Arabidopsis thaliana: one gene and its partner. The protein of the gene in region 1 interacts with the protein of each later gene in a pairwise test. Each region holds a gene or a part of one and is shown in the gene's direction. Other genes may lie near its edges.

The links.
Region 2: the proteins of MYB21 (region 1) and GATA4 interact in a two-hybrid assay, tested with the Arabidopsis thaliana proteins (one large-scale study listed by BioGRID).

What each region holds. Positions count from the first base shown.
Region 1 is NC_003074.8:10,304,280-10,308,038, forward strand, and holds the start of MYB21 (myb domain protein 21), read left to right. Parts: upstream 1-1,569; 5' UTR 1,570-3,316; coding exon 3,317-3,473; intron 3,474-3,721; exon of another isoform or gene 3,722-3,759. Other genes in the region: AT3G27809 (uncharacterized protein), read right to left, coding at 3,421-3,467.
Region 2 is NC_003074.8:22,370,948-22,374,706, forward strand, and holds GATA4 (GATA transcription factor 4), read left to right. Parts: upstream 1-2,065; 5' UTR 2,066-2,400; coding exon 2,401-2,610; intron 2,611-2,687; coding exon 2,688-3,200; 3' UTR 3,201-3,607; downstream 3,608-3,759. UniProt on the Arabidopsis thaliana protein: Transcriptional activator that specifically binds 5'-GATA-3' or 5'-GAT-3' motifs within gene promoters. May be involved in the regulation of some light-responsive genes.

The sequences.
Region 1 (3,759 bases):
TATTTAACACTAGGTTTTTAAGTTTCATCGAAGCTTCAGGCAGATCACTAAAGTGAGTCTAACCTTAGTAAATAAGGTTTTATAAGCTTGCCCACACGTAGACAGTAGACTCAATGTGGGATAAAACCGAATATGAAACTGTAGTAAGAAAAAAAACTTTTGTAAAGTTACGTCATGTTTTTTAAACCCAATACTATTGTATCACCACACGTATTTATTCACATTTTTCCGTTAACACTAAAAATCTTTTATTTTTGAAAGCGTAGCCAACCAATATTAGATAAAATTACTGCATAACTCGTTTAGTGTATTAGTAGATTTTTTTTAGTGTCTTTAAAAACACGAGTTCAAGTTTAGATAATAGAGAACATTTTGATAGAGTATTTATACTAGAATTTTCACACATATGAAAACGAATATAATTTTGGAAATTTTAAATTTTCTCTTTTCAAAAACAAATTAACAGAAGATGTTAGTTTGTAATATGTTGGTAATTGTGATTTTCAAAGTTTTAAATTCTGGAATTTTCAATTACAATTTTCTACTTGGTGTACATAAAGCTTGTAGTAAATTTGTTAATTCGGAAGTTAATGGATTTTTTGTAACAAGAAAATAAAAATGATTAGTACTTGAGAGTTGACATTAGCCAGTAGGGAAGTGCATATAACGCGCTTAAGAGGGAAGTAATTAAGAAAAGAGTCGTTTCCACTTAATTAAATCGTAGCCACAAATAATGGGGTTTCTTAAAAATGGCTTAAGTGTACTTAAACTTTTGTATGATACGCCAAATTATGTGCCCTTTCAAATATGGAAACTATTTAGTTATGCTTTAACGAGTAGGTTTTCAATCACTCATAACCCTTGCTATAAAATCTAAAATATATCATTTTTATTTTATTTTGCAAATATGAAAATCTAATGGTCTTATTAGCTCCATAGATCATTCACCTCCTCAAAGATAACATAGTTATTATTATTTTTTAAAGTTACTTATCAAATAAAAGTGCACCAATTCAGATGTTTGGTATACGGGTCCGGTACCATGGACTTGGCCCTTGGGTCTACCCATATTCGACTCGTACCCAAACGTTTATTTTGTTCTTTTCAATTGAACTAACAAACTAAGCATCTTAAGTATAAAAAAATCGTTAATTGTAATGTAAAAGCCAAAAACCAACAGACAAATATTGATTTTTGCGTTTGTGCTTAACATAATTATTTAATGAAAAAATTATATGTTTTAATTTTATAACTCAAAACCTATTTCTTAAACTGATGTTGAATTGTCGAAAAACTAAATTAATAATGTTGGCAGATATATATGGTCACGTCAAAGTCTATCTAATCAGGACTTTTGTTTTTAATCTTGATAAACGCATGTTATCGCATTAAAAATGAAAAGAGATGGGATGTGGCAACAAAAGCAAGTATTTGCTACTTGAAGTGTGAAGGACCATACATTTGATTAATTTTGGATGTGTTTTTGGTTAGGAATTAGTCACTTTTCACTTTAAGATAATGGATTTCGAATTTGGTTGGGATTAGAGTGAGATAACTTTTTAGAGTGTCAAGATCGTCGCGTCTCCATCTTAATTTGTACTTTCTTTGTCATGTTCTTAATTTGTTTACTAATAGAGTATAATAAGTTCAGTTACCTACAATTAATTAAGTTAATTTGGCGTCATTATTTATTACTATAAAGTAGTAAACTAATGTACTTTTATCGATTTCTTTATGAGACATGCCCTACTACAAAAGCATATAAAGATCATTGAGTTGTTGAAGTACATAGCAAATTTATTCTACCAATTTAATTACCATCCAATCTTTTTTTCGTCAACTATGACTTGAATATATGGACAATATGGTTGACTAAAGAAACGACAAGGAGTCTCATGCCGAAAACTTAGTACGTCGAGGCTTGTGTGTGGTAACGATGGAAGAAATAGATTGAGAAAAAAAAGTGAAACGGCAAGCAGTCTGTTTATGAAGTCTTTGGATCTCTTAAACCGGGCTTTGTCCAAAATTAGAATGGAAAAAAAAAAAGAAGGATCCCTTAAACCGGTAAGCAACCCGATTAAATTCAATATGTGTACAGAAACTTAATTTGATTTTTTTATAAAATTTAAATCAAGACTAATATGGAGACTTACAAAAGTTAATTATATGAATTGTATGTTACAGATTGAGTGCGAAAGGATGTTCCACGTTCAATCCACTAGCGAAACAAAAAAATCATTTATTTAACTGATTGTCTTCGTAAGTTTACTTAGTAATATCATGTTGAAACATTAAATCTGATATATGTGCCACTATGTAAATCATTTAGTTAACTTATAATTGAAACAAGAAATGTTATGTGTGCCACTATGTAACTTTTATTAGTACATATATAAAGGAAATAGCGTTTAATAAATCGACTGCTAATCTAAAACTAACAAGATAATTAATTATGATCACTAAGCTTCATTCTAACAAATCAGTTTATAGAGGACAAGAAAGCTTATAATTACTCCACCTTCTTTTGTCTTTTTGTTTGTGAAAGAGAAATATCTGATGGTAAAAAAGCCCAAGAAGACCTCCTCTCTACACCTTTAAAGTTTATGCAAATTTAGAAACAAACAAAACGGACCACTATAGCTAATTATCTTATATAGATAAGATATGTAGAAGGAGGGATATACATATGTATAATAACAATCTTGATATATAACTTCCATCATCCATGGTTAAGATTGTAACACCATGAGTTGGTGCGAGGATAATTCATATATACAAACCAAAAATCACGCGTATGTATGTTATTGCATGCATGTCTTGCATCATCCATGCATGAATGCATCAAAGAGTCTCCAGTCTTTAATATACATATCTACATGGATGGATGAAAGTCATGAAACCATGTTATTAAAACCCTTTTTCAAAACAAATAATAATGAAACCATGTTGTTATAATTGGTTAGGTTTGAAGAGATATACATAGATAGTCCCCATGCATGTGTTATTAGTAGTGTTTAGGATGAAAATAACCCCTAATACATAAATTAATTTTATGATTAATTAACACTCTAAGATTAAGGTAAAACATAATTAATTAAGACTTTAGATTAATTAAGGGTTAGTAATCACGCGGTGAATTTAGTCTCTATAAAAGCAGTACCTCACCTTCCACAACCTTCAATATCAACTCACCCACATCTTTCTCTCTTATTCTCTCACTCTTTTTTTTTTATATTCCTCTCTCTCTAAATCTATAAAATATATTTAAAAACTTGATCGTATATAATAAAGTAAATAAAGAATAATAACAAAAAAAATGGAGAAAAGAGGAGGAGGAAGTAGTGGAGGTTCGGGATCATCAGCAGAAGCAGAAGTGAGAAAAGGACCATGGACGATGGAAGAAGATCTTATTCTTATCAACTATATCGCCAACCACGGCGATGGTGTTTGGAATTCTCTCGCCAAATCTGCAGGTTCGTTTAATTTCTTCTTAAAATCAAATTCAATTATTTATAGTTATATACATATATGGTGTATGAACTAGGGTTTCGTCATAACATGCAAAGGTATATATCCTATACGACAAAAGCAGACTTTTTTTTTGTTAAGGTAAAATACTTTTTCTTACGTACGTTCATTTCTTTTATATATAAATCTATCTACACAGATATTAATTATATTTTCATAACTAGATTTTTTTTTTAAACGTGTATATATATATGCTCTATTATATTCGTTCTTTGTTAAAGAATCAATCTA
Region 2 (3,759 bases), about 12 Mb from region 1:
TATTGGAATATGTTTTTACTGCATATACACGCAATGTATTTACCTAAATTCTAATTCAATTGTACCTTGTAATTAGATGGTTAAGACATAAGAAATCAGATACATCTGCCCGAATTAGAGCCTTATGATGATTGGCGGTGCCACATAAAAATTGAACACAAGATAGTGATGCATATGAATGTTTATATTTTAGCCGAATATGAACACAATGTTCGCAACAATTGGTTCCCCATTCTTTATATCATATGCATGTGCCGTGCGTGTTTGTACATATATGAGTAGTTTCTGTATAGTTGAAAAACTGAATAAATTAATGAAGGAGCAATGCATGAAAGAGACATAAGAAGATAAATGATAGGGAAAAAATATGTATATATAAACCTAAAAAGAGGGCCATAGGAATTTATAGAACCAAAGTGCAATGCACTTCGGATCGTCGGTCGACTCATCTCCTTCATTGTCTCCATCCATTTTCCCATTCCCCACTACATTTTTATAGTTATCTCTTCAATGTTTAAAATAATATGTCAAAACAACTCTTTATCAAAACTAAATTTTCGTTACTTCTGGTAGTAAGGATATTTCTAAACGTTATCACATTAGTTATTAATCAAACCTGTGAAAGACATGCTAGGTTACTGAAGAATGATATTAGATACTTGTGTACACTCTATTCTACAACGATCGAAGCTAGTCCCACTTCTGTGTCTCTTTCTTTTTCTGTAAGTGTGATTGCAAAATGCGAAATATTCATGTAAGCACAAGAAACAAGATAGTTATACATTCGCATCACTTTGTATTAATAAATTGTTGAGCCAATTTTGTTCTCTATTTCCTTGTTTTGGTCATGTTGAAATTCAACTCTATGATTGATTACACATTCCGGAGAATATTATTTTATTTTCTTTGAACAAGAAAACATAAAAAAAAAAAAAAACTCAACGGGATACTAAATGATCCAACTCACAAATTTCAACAAAATTAAGAAAAAAAATCGGAAAACCTTTTTAGGAGATGGCAGAAGAATTTAATTAACAAAAGGGAGAGAGGCTTATTGAAAAAAATAAAATTAGTAACCTTGCATTTATTTAATTTCCCCTTCATTACTTGTTTAAATTAATAAAACTATAGACTATGATCTATAATGAGTTTATTGCAAATAAGGCATTTGTCTTAGATATATATTTTATTTTAGGCACTTTTGAAATGATCTTTAGATTTAGGCACTTCTTTCCTGGGGAAAGTCGTTTTTACCCTTACAGAGAGATGATGTTGTTCTTTCTTTGTTGATGAACTTTTACGTTTTACACTAGAAATCAAAAATACTTGCGACCAACACCAACAACTTTGGAGTCATTGATTACAGAGTGATGTCAGCGACGATTGGAAATTCAGACGACTAACAATCGGTCCTCATGAGATGTGAATGCGATCTAGATTTTTAACATCCCACATTTTGAGATCTGGAAAAAAAAAACAAGAAACAAAAAAGTCCCACGATTTAGTATTACGATTTGCACGTTTTTTTGTTCAGTGATTTTTGTGCAGGTTAAGGAATTCAAGAAGTGATTGATACTTTGTTGATTGCTCAATTGATGTTCATAATCATGTCTACAAGTACATTGATTTTTGTTCATGTTAATGGTGTTTGATGATAATGAGGATGGTTGTAGTGTTGTGTTATTGTGTGTATGTAAGAATTGCATACTCTATATTTGACGGTTTGGGTTTACAAGTCTAATTCTAGGGTATAGCGTTTACCATTGACGCCGTTCGTTACCCCTCGTTGTCAAAGCCGTGAACCACCACCAAATCTTTGTGCTATCGTCAAAGCTTCATGCCTACCGTCGAAGCTGCAAGTCCACTATCTAAGCCATATATCTTTGGATGTCAAAAGAAACTTAAAATTGAATCAGAGATGGGGATACAATTTTTAGAAGATAAACACATTCTTTTCACCTCATTCTCAACTCCAGTTCATAGTTTAAGGGCAAAAATGTCCGTAACAATAAAAATTGAAGTATTATATGCTTTTACTGTTTAGAGTGTCTGTTTTGAAAGAAATGTTTTCAAAATGCTTGTTTAGAATATAAGCTCGATCTATAATATATGCGTTTTTAAAAAAAGACTAGTATATGCATTATGTAATTCATGGTTAATTAATCCTCTGGTAAGTAAATTAAATAGCACATGCATGTTCAAAGAAAAATGTAGACAAATATATTAAAGTGGATAAATAAATAGAAAAAAAGGGAGTGGTCAGGTCAGTCTCGGTGCATGCTAACTCTATGCACGTTCTCATCTTCGTCTCTTTCCTCACTTACACTAATTCTCTCTCTCTATATTAAACCTCTGAACCAGTGACCACATACATACTCAGTAAGCGAGTCCGAGTCAACAATGGACGTCTACGGCATGTCTTCACCGGACTTGCTTCGTATCGACGACCTTCTCGATTTCTCCAACGACGAAATCTTCTCTTCCTCTTCCACCGTCACTTCCTCCGCCGCTTCCTCCGCCGCTTCTTCCGAAAACCCTTTCAGCTTTCCTTCTTCCACCTACACTTCTCCTACTCTCCTCACCGACTTCACTCACGATCTCTGCGTTCCCGTACGTTTTCAAATTTCAATTTACCCTAATTTTGATTTTGATTTTGAATTTCTAAGTTCTGATTTTGAGTTTTGCAGAGTGACGACGCAGCTCATCTCGAATGGTTATCGCGATTCGTTGACGATTCATTCTCCGATTTCCCAGCAAATCCTTTAACCATGACCGTTAGACCCGAGATTTCATTCACCGGAAAACCTAGAAGTCGCCGATCAAGAGCACCAGCACCTTCCGTAGCTGGAACTTGGGCTCCGATGTCTGAATCAGAGCTTTGTCACTCCGTCGCTAAACCTAAACCGAAGAAAGTCTACAACGCTGAATCGGTTACGGCGGATGGAGCGAGGCGGTGCACGCACTGTGCCTCGGAGAAAACGCCACAGTGGAGAACTGGACCGCTTGGACCTAAAACACTTTGTAACGCTTGTGGAGTTCGTTACAAATCAGGGAGGCTTGTACCGGAATACAGACCGGCGTCGAGTCCGACGTTTGTATTGACTCAGCATTCGAACTCTCATCGGAAAGTTATGGAGCTCCGGCGACAGAAGGAACAACAAGAATCTTGCGTTCGAATTCCGCCGTTTCAGCCGCAGTAAATTTGGGGGTTTTCTTTTCAAGGGTTTTTGTGATTTGGTGACGTGTCGTAATCTTAACGGTGATGATCACGTGACCGACGGGAGGGGTTAAGGACTTAATTATCAGTATTAGTTTAAAGTTTGCAAATCTCTGCTAATTAATTTGTTGGTAATTTCTATTGATTTTTTTCTTGCTTTTGTTTATTGGTCTCACGGCTCTCCTTAAAGTTATATCATTAAATGATTTCATTGGCGGCATTTAATTTTCCTCTTTTCAGATATAAAAGCTTCTCAACCACCATGGACTCTGCTTTTTGTGACTTATGATGTTATATCACACATGACAATGCTGGTTAATCTTCATACATACATCATACATGTTACATGCTTGAGAATTTGAGTTTTTGGCATTTCACGAGGCAATTCAGTTTACTACTTTCTTAAAAAATAGTAACCTAAGCCATACCAAACCTAACTCTCTCTGGTTTAGGCTATTCAAATCTAACAATTTTTCGCTTTATTCCATCTGAACCAAAAATTACCAATACTCTTATACAAAGTGCTTAAACCTCTTATAAAT